3 linked regions of the Lonchura striata genome follow. The protein of the gene in region 1 binds, or shares a complex with, the protein of each later gene. Links are inferred from orthologs where the notes say so. Each region holds a gene or a part of one and is shown in the gene's direction. Other genes may lie near its edges. The genes, in order: OGT, ZNF831 and KANSL1.

Region 1 (4,440 bases):
TTTTAAGATATATTTTAATTGACTATAAAACATGTTATATGAATGAGTAAATGATGAAGAATAAGCATTAGACAAGCATGTCCTGCTGAAGCCTTGGCTTATTGTAGCCTGTACTGGTTCCAGAATCCAGATAGAGATTTGTATGGTTTGTTCTTCAGTCTTTATAGGTGTAAAGTAATTCCTCAGAAATACTGGCTCTTTGGATAAATGAGTATCTGTCAGGAAAAATGCTTGCTCAGAATGAAATACTTGCTGTTGATGAACAATTTTAAGGCAATTTTCATTTCATAAAGGGGAGCTTTTTCTCTGGGACTACAAATACAGTGTCTGATGTCTGACCCCTCAGTGGTTTTGGGAACTGCCTAACTCCTACCAATACCTCAGAAACAGCTGCCCTGCTTTTTCTAGAAGTTGCAGTAAGTTCCAGGTTCCAGAAACCAGACTTTTGGTGATTTGAACCTTTAGGAAGGCTCCCGGTTCACCGGAGACTGCTAACTTTCAGTGCCCCGGGGAGCTAGTGCAGTCCCCGGAGCTCGGTGTGGAGTCCTGGTGCGGCTGACGGAGCTCATGCAGTACAGCAGGAATGGGGACACGGACGCCTTGGCTGCCATTTCTCTGTGCGGGTACACGGTGAGCTCCGGTGTCCCGGTTATTGAGCTCTGCTGTCCGTGTGACGGAGCTGCACTGTGTCTGAGCTGATGCCGCGGTGAGCCCCACCGGCCGATCCCCGCTGTCCCAGCCCCGCTGTCCCAGCCCCGCCGTCCCGCCGTCCCAGCCCCGCCGTCCCAGCCCTGCCGGCCGATCCCCGCCGGCCGAGCCCCGCTGTCCCAGCCCCGCCGTCCCGCCGGCCGATCCCCGCTGTCCCAGCCCCGCTGTCCCAGCCCCGCCGGCCGATCCCCGCTGTCCCAGCCCTGCTGTCCCAGCCCCGCTGTCCCAGCCCCGCCGTCCCGCCGCCGCGGTCCCGCCGGTTCCGCGGGGCCACGTGCGGGAGTGCCGGGAGGCGGCGGCGCATGCGCAGTGCCGCCGCCGTTGGCGCAGCGCTGCGCGCGGAAGGATAACTTTATCTCGACCCGTGCCTATTGCAGCAGGTCCCTCCGCCCGCCGTGTGGCAGCGCTGCCCGGCGCCGCCCGGACTCTTTTCCGCGGGGATAGTTCCGGCCGCGGCCATTCGGTACCGCCGCCGCCGCCATTTCGGGAGCGCCGCCTCAGCGCGCCGCGACCGCGGGCAGCTCGGCCCGGCCCGGCCCGAGCGCACCTTCTGCCGTCGCCGCCACAGCTTCCCCGTCTCCTGTCCCGATGGCGACCTCCGTGGGGAACGTGGCGGACAGCACAGGTACCGTGCGCTGCGGCGCTGCCGAGGACGGGCTGGCCGGGGACGGCGGGGGCCCGGCCGTGCCCTCGGCCCCGGGGCCGCTCCCCGCCGGCCGGGCCGGCGCCCAGCGGAGGTTTCCGGACGCGGCCGGCGCGGTGCCCGCCGCCCGTGGGGTCTGTGCGTGCCGGGCCCCGGCGCGGTCCCGGGCGCGCTCCGGTGGGCGCTGCCCGTGGGCAGCCCCGGGCCGCTGCCGGGGAGGTGTGAGTGCGGCGGGCTCGCTGCTATATTTACCAGACTATCAGGTGACTGCGTTAGAGGGCGAAGTAGGGTAAAAGCCTGACCCAAAGTGTGCGTTGGTTTGCCCAGAATCGCTCGCTGCACTTAGGCAGGACTTTTTTTTCAGCAGCCTGGTCGAATGGAAGGTGTCCCTGCCCGTGGCGGTGGCATTGGAACGAGATTATCTTTAAGGTCCATTCCAACCCAAAACGTTCCATGATTCTGTGGCATAGACGAACGCTAAAGCGCTTTTCTGAACAGTAAAATTGCGTGTTGTATCAAGGAAAGATCCTGCCCTAAATTTAGTTCGCAGATCCAGAACTTGAGGAATGGAGGAGAAATCTGACTTCCTTTGTACAGCAAGAGAAAGAAGTGTTGGCTTACTGAAAGGGTGAAAGGACAGCGCAGCTTTATCCCCCAGATTTTGAGGGTTTCTGTAATCAGGGGGGGTGGGGAGAGCTGAAATGATGCTTGGGAAAAGCAAAAGGAAAAGGAGGATTTTTGGAGAAAGAGACGGGACAGCGGTGCAGGAGATAGGGATCTAAAGAGAAGCGGTAGTGATACGGAGAAGTGCTGCAGTACGGTGTTTCGTACTTTCTCAGCTAGAACTGTGTGTGGTCAGCGAGGCTGCAGCATCCTCTTGTAGCCGGGATCCTTGCGGGTAAAAAGAGCCACGTGCACGCTGGGAGGGAGTCCTGTGCTATCCAGCACCTCCCAGCTGGAGGGAACCACTGCTTCTGTCTGGAACTAGATGGTGTCTGAAGGCAAGGTTGAGCTTGATTGCAAGTGCTTAGGATGGTATTTGTGGGGGGAAAATGGCCTTGGGTGCCTTTCTGGTGGTTCTGTGCAGCTTTTTGTTTGCTTGTATCGTCCAGAACCCTCAGGGAAGGTCATTGTCACAGCACTGTACTAGACTTTTCCAAGGTCACAGTCAAAGCATGCAGCACAAATTAGCCAAGGTACAGAAATTAATTTATGCAAGACACGAAAAGGGATTTTCCTGGCTGTGACTTCTCACTGCAGTTATTTTCTTTACTAATTGATTCAGTGAGCATCCTTTCATGGGCTCTTTTATGGATATTTTGCACTCCATAACTTCCAGCCAACTTTGTATTAAAAGTTTCATTTGTTCTGGGCTTCGTGATGTGGCTGTCCACTTCTGCTTTTCAGTGTACTTCACAATCGATTATAAAATAACTGCTTGGAGGTAGATGACTGGCAGTTTTACACTGAGGTTGCCCTATCTCTGGAGACAAAGGTTTTGGCTTGTTTTGTAAACAGAGGCTCTTGATAAATTAAAGAAAGTGTCAAGTGTTTCTTCGTTTGTTGGTTTTGTTAGTAGTTCTCATTTTCAGGGGTTAAATCTCCACTGCCTGCTCTCTTGATCTGGCAGTTGCACCTGCAGTTTGACTTCTTGCTTTAAGTAGGCAAAATGTAGCATTGATATTATGACTGAAAGCTTCTTTCCCTGCAGTCATAAGTCTTGAAGTGAAAACTTCTGGGGTGTTAAGCTTTGGGGTGCTTTTTAGTTGGTTTTTTTTTTTTTTTTTTTTTTTTTTCTTTGACATTTACTAAAACAATTGAAATGTATTTGAAGAAGAAATTGAGTTCATGAGACACGCTATTCCTCTATCTGGTTTCTCTGTGCCATCAGCGGAAGTTGGCGCTGACTGCCAGAAGGGCAAAACCTGTTAACAGCACAGGGACCAAGTGAGGAACAGTTTGCTGGTGCTCCAGTATTACTGTCAGCACCATTTATAAGCAGTGTGGTTTTCAGCCACAGTTCAACATTCTCATACTGAATAAAGGTTGTACCTTTTTACCTTTGCCAGTATGTTTAACCACATCCTGAAGTCCACGTTGCTCTTACTCAGGGTTTGAAAAACAGGAATCTAATCTGGATCAAGATACTTGGTTACTAATTTGTCAGTTATCTAAAAAGAGACTGGCAGTGGTAGTTCAAATTTACTGTGGCAGAGACAATACACTATCTGGAAAAAATACTGTACTTATATCATACAGGACTTGGAGTCTTATACTGAAACCTACTGGTGCTAAACCCCCAAATTTGAAAGTAATTTAAATAAATTACATCAATCCCAATTTCATAAAATAAATGCTAGGTAGTAAATCTGTATTTATCTTTATGATTATATAAATTATATGATTATGATTATTTTTGCCATCTTTAAAGTTCTCACAAAATCATGAACTTTTGTACTACCTTACTACAAAAATGTAGGTTCAGGTATTGAGGTGCTTTCTTGTATTAGGAAAGGTTTATCTGTTTCATTTAGAGTCCAAATTTTAAAACTGTAGGATGAGGTGGAAAGTGTTTAATGAATGGAATTAAGGGGCTGCAGAGTGCAGGAGGGAAAATGAGAGATACTTGGAGTAATCAAACATTTTAATAGTAAGAGTTGTTGATATAAAGGCAGAATTTGAAGGCCAACACTTCTTTCTATGATGAATGGTTGTGGGTTTTCCAAGTTGCACTTGCTTATTACTTTGTAAGAAATTTTACTTACTTCTCTCACTTCTGGTTGCTTTGTCTAAAATAGGTGGCATTTCATTTAAGTATTTTGTTCTCTGCAGTTGGGTATTAAATACTAAAACTGTTTTGTCACTCCTGTTCCAGCTAAGCCTCCAGGAGCAGTAACTCCTTTCTACCCTCTCTGTTTAATGGTTCCTCCTGTAGGCTAGTTGCATAATCATTGAAGTGTGTGTTTGTCTCTCATCAGATATTGTTGTTCCAAGACCATTTTTTTTTCTGTGAAGGGATTTTGACTCCTCAGAGGAAGTATGCAGGATTCAGTGAATGTTACCCATTGTGCTTTTTTTGCCTTTTTTTT
Region 2 (4,440 bases), on another chromosome or scaffold:
AAGGCAACAGAAATCCTGCATTATCTGGGGCTCATCTGGATGTGTGAAAAGATGGACACCTAAACCCCGACACCCCAGAGAGCACATGCCTTCTGCCCAAACACAAGATTTTCTACCTAGTTGTCTCTTCTCAACATACCTGGAGATACACATTTATCAAGTGTCAGTCATGGAGCAGCCAAGTCATAAAGATTCCTTGAAGTTTTCAAGTTCCCTTCTAAAACTGTTTTGTCTGTAAAAAGTAAAAAATATGGAAAAAGATATGTTTGAGAAGTGTTCTTGCTTTTCTGACAAAACCTTCCACCTGTCCCTCCCAACAACAGTGTGTTCATAACTGTTTTAGTCCCTGTTACTTGTGTCAGCACTTTTATATCAGCTGAAATCCCATTTTCTTCTCATTCCCCATGATATGACAGGGAACAGCCCCTTTGTCTCACTCCTGTTGGTCTCCAGTAGTTACAACAAATATTCAAGTCTGTTTTCTGCCTAATTTAGATCAGTAAACCTGAGGTGTTGCTGGACTACTGAACAAAACTGGGCTGCCAGCATGTCCTGGTTTTTTGGCTGTGTTTTGTGGCATTTCCAAGGAATAGTCCTGGGCTCAGATGTCCTGCCTGGCCAGTTGTGGAGTGGCTGCTCTGTGTACTGTACTGTGCTACTTGGTGCTACCACAATTTAGGCACCTATTTAGCATGTTCTAAAGCACAAATATAGGTGTTCTCTGAAGACTTTCTCTGGGGAAATCTGGATACTCTTCAGAAATACAAGCTCTTGTAGATTAATTAAAAAATAGCAGCAAAAAAGACAACAAAATATTAATACTATGTAAAGTAGAAAACCTTCCTAAATACTCAATTTACCTTTTTTTCTTTTAGAGGCTGAGGAAGAAACTTGACTGGATTACATCTGTTAAGTTAAAACAAAGCAACAAAAAAAACCTCAGAAAAAGATAAAAGGAGAAAAATCATAATTTTTCATTTGTGCCTGATGGGGTTGTGTATTTTTTTTTTTTTTTAACTGTTTGCAAATCTTCAGTGTAATGGTTTGAAACCCAGTCGTGTCATTTCTTTACGCCCACACACAGAGCTGCAGTAGTGCAGACACTGTAGCAGGCAAACCATATTCCCAGCATCGGCCATTAAAACTCTTCCTACACCAGCGTGGGCTGCCTGCACCCCCTGCTCTCTCTGCACACACCCCACCACCCACCCTTCACTGTTCAAATGCTTAAAAAAAAAGGAGAAGAGAAAGACACTGAAAAAAGAAAACAGGATGCTTCTTTTGTTTCAACGCTATTCCAGGGACCTGAACCTCTCCACCTGCCTGTGAATTGGCCACCTAAAGGTTAGCAAGTGTTTTGTTGTCATTTTCTATGGACAGAGAGAGAATTCAGTTCTAGATGGCAAGCCAGAAATTTTAAAGTTACAGTTGTTGGCTTTTTTTTTTTTTTTTTAATTATGATGGTTCTTTCACTTAGCAACGAGAAAGATTTTTTTTTCATAAAACACAAAGCATTTCAGTTCTGGCCCCACTTCAGCTTTTCAGAGGGTTTTAATCGGTATTTTTTCATCATTTAGTCCAACCTTCTAAACTTTAAAAGATGGATTAGGGTTATTATTTTTCTGTTAGAGCAACCTGTTGATTGCAGTCTGCTGGCTGGAGGTTGTTAACTCTTTCCTAACACGGGAAATGCACAGGAGCAAATTTGATGAAAGGATAAAAGAATTGAAATACTTTGAGGTTTTTAAGCACTAAAGATCCTATTTTTTCCTCATGGTCAAGCCACAAAGCATGTTATAAAACGAACAGATATGCTAGGTATGTTTCTTTTTAGAAATAGTGATGTAAATCTAAACTAAAGACTTATAATAAACTAGAAAGCATTTCTTATGGCTAGAGCTGAGAAAAGTAGCAGTGTAAGAAGTAGAAAAGGAAATATTCTTGATACAAATTGCATGAAGAGGTCAAAAAAGCCAATACAGTGTTTACTTACACATTAAAATGTGTTTTGGGTAACAATATTTTTACTAATCTAAGCCTTTGGAATGTTTTCATATATGGATATTCAAGAAAAGAAACATAGGAAAATATAGAAAACTGTATAATTATGATAAAACCAGTTGCTTCTATTCTGGAACAAAGGGAAGGTAAAGCAGATCCCGTTCTTCCTAAAAGATTTTAAAACTGTATTCTGGCACAATATTTACAGAAATAATTGTTTTAAAAAGCCCAACCTAACCAGCTTTGCTGATATAACTGTAGAAGTTAAGTGTCAAAAATATTTATCCTTTTGATACGGTACAAGAATTTCCAAGTTCCCCCAGCTGGTTTTCCAGTGCCTTTGTACTTTAATAGCACATGAAGAAGGCAAAACTTCAGAACAATGACTTGTACCAAGCAGCAAGATTTCCCAAAGTCAGAATTTGAGATGTGACTATGGAAAAACTCTAAAGGTTTCAGGAGATGATGGAATTAAACAGTTTCAGCCTGATTCTGCAGAGGACTGAGGCTCCCAACTTTGTTCAGGAGGTACCGGCAGCGTGCAGGCTGCGGGTGGAACTGGCAGAGTTGTGAGATCAGAGACATCCCTTAAGAACAAGGGGAAAGGTGAACTCACTACTTCTGTTATGAGACATTTCAAGATAGGAAGTCAAACTGAGAAAAGAGCAAAGGCAGAAATAGTTTTCAAGTTAAACGAGATTAACAGTCATTTCTGGGCTAACCAGGAAATGTGTCGGTTCCATTTTGCTTGTTTGAATTGAGAACTAAAAACTCCAGACCTGGGGTAAACTCACAAACTTTTTGCTTCCATCACAGAAGGAGTGTTTAAAGTACCTGCACAAAGTTTATTTCAGACCCTATGGTTCCCAATGATTTTATGGTGCTAAGATTGAAGTAGAAGTTTTGTGTGGTCTGTCAAGGGAGTTGTGCAGGCTGTCAGTGTTGGATGAGCAAATGGAAATTATAATCCCACTGTCTGCATCTTTCTCTGACAGTAAGATACTGTGTGCTGCTCTCAGCATCTCTGCCTTCACAAGAAAAATTAATAATTAGCAATCCTGGAAGATACTTTCTTTTCATTTAACTTTGCAAAGTTCTTTCAAACGTGTAGTTGCAGGATCTTTGGAATCAATTTCCTCACCAGCACAGGAAGAATGTTTATTGCTGCTTTCACTTGCTCACACCCCTGTCAAAACTCTGTAGGTGTCTTTGAAGGATGCAGGGTTTTAAATACCTGGGGTGGGACCTTTTCCACTTGGGACCCAGAAATGTGTACCAATGGTGTGGGGTTTAATTCCTCAAATCCTGATGGGGACATGAATTGAGAGAGGAGTACAGCCCCAGAACTCCCTCCTGTGCAGCACCTGACAGTGGGTTCAGCTTTGTGCATAGTTTAAATCCATACTTTGCTGTCTATTGAAGTTACCCGAGTTTCTCTGAGCAGGACAATATTTTGAATTTAAAATGAATATAAATAATCTTGCATAGAGATTGCAGCTGAGGAAGCAACACATAAGTAGATTGATTAGAAAGAGACAACAAAAATCACTTAATTTCAAACACAGCTAATGCAGTGTAATACTGGTGCTCTGTATTTTGTTACTTCTAGCCATTACAGCAGCCTATTCAACCACATAAATGGGAAGAATCACAGGATGCTGTGAAGGACCCTGATTCCAGAGTCATCCAAGATTTAGAGATTTTAGATCAAGCTTCAAAAGGTTCTGCTAAACCCTGAAATCTCTGTGATAGTGGCAGATATCCAGACAGCCAATTGCTTTTGCTGTAACTTGCTTTAATTAATTATGGTCTCCTTAAGTCTCTCAGGATAAGCAGCTTGCAGTTTTAGCATTTGGAATTTGATACTGAGTGATCTCAATAATTAATTTTAAATGCTTATACATGTTTTCAATTTGTCACTAGTTCCAGCATACTGCTGCAATTATTAGTACTGTTTAAATTAAGTGTCCCTTTTAAGTAAATTCACCTTAACTTAATAACAGTCAGTCTCAAAGTGTAATAAAAAATAATGGGCTCCAGAAATGTGATCAAACTGAAGACAAACTAATTTTGACTGGTTATGTAAAATGCCCATAATCATCTGTTTGTATGATTTGATTCATGCCAGTGTTCTATTATAAGATGTGCATCTTTTTTCCCCGTTGGTTTGTTGACTGTAGCATGCAGTAATCCTCCAGAAGATCTCACTTAGAGGTGAGAACACATTCCTTTAGGAAAGTATCTCCCAGCAGAGCTGAAACTACTTGCTGCATGTAATTCTCTCCATCTGGACAGACTGAGTCTATAGAGCAGAAGCATGAGTCACTGTAAAGCAGTTCAGAATGTCAAGTATTTTCTAGATTCACAGATTTTAAGTGTCTGCAGTGCCATTACCAATTACTGGGAGCATTTCAGGGTATGGGAGAAACCAGGAGGATT
Region 3 (4,440 bases), on another chromosome or scaffold:
ATGGGCTCCGAGGTCCCTTCCCAGCCAAACCATTCCAGGATTCCATGATCCTCTCCCAGCCCTGCTGTCCCAAGAGTGAGCAGTGAAGGAGCTCACCTGCATTTTGGCCTGTGGGACATGGATCAAGTCTTTTATTGGAGTTATACCTGGCCCGTGACTGGATAAAAACTAAAAGACGAATTGAAAAGGCAAGAGTGGCAGCAGCTGGAGGGCTGTGCCCACAGCAGCGCTCAGGAGCAGCCATTGGGGAGTTTTCTGTGTCTAGAGGAGATGGCAGTGCGACGGCCCCGGGGTCACCGGGGACCGGGGGGCGTCCCGTGCCTCGGGGACAGGGCGAGCGGTGCCACGGCCCCGCTGCCCCGTGGGACAGGGACACGGGCCCGGTGCCACCCGCGGCCAGGGCCCGGCGGGACCGCAGCCCTCGCCACCCGTGCCGGGGCTCGCCGTCCCGGCGGGGCCTCCCGGGCCCCCGGCCGGTCCCTCCCCGCTGCGGGACCCGCGCCCCCCGGCTCCCGCCCCGGTGCCACCCGCGGGACACCGGCTCCCCGTGTCCCCCCGCCCGGTGCTCCCGCGGCCTGGCCGGACCCGCGGCCGCCCCGGGCGGGGTGGCGCGCCCGGGTCCGCCCGTGGGGGCCGGGCCCGGGGCCGGTGGCCCGGGGGGCGCGGGCGGGGGGGGCGCGGGGCAGGGGCCGAGCGGCGGCACCGCATCAATCACCGCCCGCCCCGCCCCCCGCGCTGATTGACGCGGCCGCAGCCAATGGGGCGCGCCCATGCCCCGCGCGCAGCCAATGGGCGCGGGGGAGGGCGGAAGGTGCCCGCTTGAAGGCGGCGGAGCGGCGCAGGTAGGAGCGGGCGGGGGGCGCGCGGCGGCCGCGGGCCGGGGGCGCGCACGGCCCGGGGGTCGCGGCCCCGGCCCCGCCCCGGCCCCGCCCCGGCCCCGCCGTCCCGCGACTTGGCTGCGGGGGCCGGGCCGCGGCGGGGCCGGGAGGGGCGGGCGGCTGCTCCCGCCCGGGAGCCGGGGGTCGCGGGCAGGGTCGCGGCGGGCCCGGGGCGCCGGGAGCGCTCCGCCCCGCCGCGCTGCCCCGCGGGACCGGGCCCGGTCGGCTCCGAGCGGAGCGGGGTCCCCCCGCCCGCCCCGCGCCTCCATTTTAGCCCGGGGAAGCGAGGCCGGGCCCGGGGGGCTTCTGGAAGGATCGGGGGTGGCGGCGGCCCCGGGCCCGCGCCCCGAGCGCTGCCGGGCCCGGCCCGAGCCCGCGGCGGGATGGAGCTGACGGCGGGAGGGGGCGGCGGGCCCCTTGTGACAGCCCTCTCTGTCCCCAGCTCCCGCACTTCCCCACCTCCTCGAGTAAATCGGTAAGAAACTTGCATCCCGCCGGCGGCGGCTGGAAGGATCCGGAGGCCGTCCCGGGCTGCCCACCTGGAGCGCAGGTGTGAGCGAGGATGGGCCTGGCCAGGATGCCCAGCAAGGTACGTCCCGCCTGCCCCGCTCCCCGGCTGCCCGGGGCTCCGCTCCCGGCGCCGGCCCGCTCGGTGTGCCCAGCTGCCCTGCCGGGTGCTGCCTGGGCTCCTGACCCTGCAGGGTGACGCTGGAGCCCTGCACGTAGTTTCTTGGCTGATGCACAACTTTAAAATGGAGGTTTGGTATGATGGCTGGAAGTGTGGATTCATCCTGTGCGTGCACAGGGTGCTTCTCTCTCCAAAGCCATTCCAGTGCCTGTAGTGAAGAGATGTGGAGGCTCCTCTCAGGAGCATGTGTGTGTATTTTCAGGTGTTACCTGTCCTTGTGTGCCGCAGCATCGAGACATCAAGGCATGACTTGCCCAGAAAAAGAAAGATCTCCTGCTTTTTTTTCCCCTCTCTTTATTGTTTTCATCCTTAAACCCCAGGTTTACACTCTAAGGTCCTTTATACTTCCTGATTTGATCTGGTTTATGTATGTATTTATAGTATCAAAAGAGTTTTGTGTACACCTGTCAGAGGGGCTTTGTCCTGTGGAAACCAAAGGTCTAAAGCTGGAGTTTCCTGCTCACATTTCTGTTTCTCTGGTTTCCCGGTGTGTGAAGCAGCCGTGGTGCTCCTGGGTCCAGAGTGGAGCCTGGCGAGGCTTTGCTGGTGCTTCTTCAGAAAATTGGCCTCTTGCCTTGCCGATGTTATTGCACATTACAAATGTGTCCTAAACACTCAGGTACAGGAATTGAGCTCTGTGCAGCTGAATAAAACCTGAAGAGAAGTGCTAAAGGGAAGGATATTTCCCTCTTTTCATAAATCTACAAGTCAAAGCAGCCTGACTTTAGGCCAATTATTGAGGCTGAATTTAGACAAATTCTCTTGTAATGGGAAAACCAAAAATCTTATTTCAATCCGTTCACACTGACCCTACCCAAATCTGCTGTGGTATCTGATCTTCAGTCGGCCAACACAGCAGCAAAGCTCTTGCTCTTTGTACACGGAATAACACTGAGTTGTTTTATGGGCTTTAAAAGTGGAATTAAATCTCCCTGTTGTGGGTTTTGGCAGGAAGGGCCCCGGGAGGGTGCCCTGGATCCTCTGTGCCTCCCGTGAGCTGGCAGGAGCTGGGAGAAGGAGCAGTGCCTGCGTGTGCTGCTGGGGCACTCGGCGTGTCCGGCCACCACATCCCTCGGCAGCTCTGCTGCTGAGGGGTGTTTGCTTCTGGAGGGCAGATCTTGCTGGACCTTGATTTTTGGAGTGTGTTGAGCGTGTCACAAGTTGAATTGCTTTACTGCTCTGCTAGGATCTGTCTGAGGGCCTTTCTCACTGTGACCCCCACTTGTGCTCAAGCTCCTGGCACCTGGCATTGCCACAGTCTGCAGTGTTTTACTGTCACAGTTTGCAGTGTTCTATTGCCACAGTTTGCAGTGCTTTACTGTCACAGGAGAGACCAGCTCCGTTCCAGCCCTTGAGTTCTGTGAAGCCTCCTCAGAGGGGCAGGAGGTCTGTGGGAGCAGAGGAGCAGGAAGCCCTGCCTGCTCCTTCCCAGGGGATGTGCTGCTCCAGCTCTGCCTGTGCCCTGCTCACACAACGGGGACTCGCTGCCTTCTCCGCCCCATTGCCATTCCCCTGTGGTTGCCTGGGCTCCGATTCTCCCATGCTGGACTTGTGATAGGAAGTATTGGTATTAAGAGCAGGTAGAGTCTTGTTGTTGTGTTTTTTAGTGGCCATCCATTTTTCCCACATTCAGGATGTTTCCCAAACAGAAATAGCATGGGTTTAGGCTCAAAAGTCATAAATAATAACACTTAAGAGTTATTTTATGTACTGATATGCATATAGTTACTGTATAGAGACTATTAAATTTCTGAGGCAGGTCCAATCAGAGGAAGTGAGGAGGATTAATAGGTGGAAAGATGAGGTAACAATTAGGTGTGCATAGCTGGGTACACAGCCCTCACCAGATATTGTGTTTTGGGTGTTCTGGATGCTTGGCAGAACAGGACAGTTCGAAGGATGTAAAAATGGGGCTTCACTGGGGAGAGCTGCTCTTGTTCATGGGGGCATCTCCAGATCAGGAACATCCTGTGTGAGGGACAGGTAGGTGGCTGGCCCTGGAGTGGCCAGGTGACCAGTTGTAGCACAGTTTTGAGTGGGAAACAGACTGGCAGGACCATAGAAGGTACATGTGTAATTTTACACTGCACAGCAATTTCTGCTACTCATCTCCAGGTCAGGCTGGACGATGGAAGCTGCAGCTGTGTCTGTGCTGCAGGAAGATCCAGACCTGTACTGGAATGTCAAGCTGGAATCTGGGCTCTTGGTCTGTGCCTCAGCAGAAAGTCCTGCACTGCACAGTGAACAAAAGATCAGAAGCTTTATTGCACAGGAATTTCTTTTAACTTCCTCCACAACAGATTGTCCTCACTCTTCTGTTCCAGTATAAAACCACATTTGTTGCTACTTCTGCTTTTTAGCTGAGCCCTAATTCAAGGTAGATTAAAAAAACCAATAACACCAGAGGTTCGCACGCCATCGTAGGGTCCTGTGTCCCTAAAATTCTCTCTAAGCGGGGCGAGGAGATCAGGACAGAGTGTGCAGCTGCTGAGTTCCTCATGCTGTTGTCTTTCAGAAAAGGTATTTTTGTTACCCTTAAGAATAGCTAGTGTTCACTGTGTGACCCCGCTGGGTGCTGGACGTGGGGTGCTGATAACACACTGCCCGGCTGTCCTCCTTGCCACTGTTCCATCACTGACTTAAACCCACGTTCAAGGTCTCAACACCCATTTTCTTAAGGTACTGCATGAGAGTGCTGAGCCTGGGGAGTGACCAGCACTGAGGAGACAGCTGGGACTGCAAGGGACAGCCCAGGAGTGGAGCTGGTTGTCTGCAGTTCCCTGCTAGGGCATAAAAACCCTGCATTGGTCTCACTGCTGTCCTTAGGTGAATATTTTTCTTGGAAAAACACTTGGGTATAAGCTGCGTTTTGAA

The links.
Region 2: the proteins of OGT (region 1) and ZNF831 are in contact, whole or in part, in a crystal structure (PDB 8FUF), measured with the Homo sapiens proteins. The link is inferred for Lonchura striata from reciprocal best matches to the Homo sapiens genes OGT and ZNF831. Residues at the interface, in NP_858058.1 of Homo sapiens: Phe723, Ile734, Met779, Ile787, Ile790, Asn791, Arg792, Gly793, Leu808, Ala809, Thr831, Arg832, Ser833, Gln834, Tyr835, Gly836, Leu837, Pro838, Glu839, Arg877; in NP_001371283.1 of Homo sapiens: Phe937, Ser938, Pro939, Lys940, Tyr941, Leu942, Leu943, Arg944, Leu945, Pro946.
Region 3: OGT (region 1) and KANSL1 share a complex: the UniProt entries of both Homo sapiens proteins name them as parts of the NSL complex. The link is inferred for Lonchura striata from reciprocal best matches to the Homo sapiens genes OGT and KANSL1.

What each region holds. Positions count from the first base shown.
Region 1 is NC_134616.1:18,902,347-18,906,786, reverse strand, and holds the start of OGT (UDP-N-acetylglucosamine--peptide N-acetylglucosaminyltransferase 110 kDa subunit), read left to right. Parts: upstream 1-1,164; 5' UTR 1,165-1,296; coding exon 1,297-1,333; intron 1,334-4,440. UniProt on the Homo sapiens protein: Catalyzes the transfer of a single N-acetylglucosamine from UDP-GlcNAc to a serine or threonine residue in cytoplasmic and nuclear proteins resulting in their modification with a beta-linked N-acetylglucosamine (O-GlcNAc).
Region 2 is NC_134619.1:3,794,089-3,798,528, forward strand, and holds the start of ZNF831 (zinc finger protein 831), read left to right. Parts: upstream 1-1,061; 5' UTR 1,062-1,344; intron 1,345-4,440.
Region 3 is NC_134627.1:8,850,358-8,854,797, reverse strand, and holds the start of KANSL1 (KAT8 regulatory NSL complex subunit 1), read left to right. Parts: upstream 1-1,309; 5' UTR 1,310-1,467; intron 1,468-4,440. UniProt on the Homo sapiens protein: Non-catalytic component of the NSL histone acetyltransferase complex, a multiprotein complex that mediates histone H4 acetylation at 'Lys-5'- and 'Lys-8' (H4K5ac and H4K8ac) at transcription start sites and promotes transcription initiation.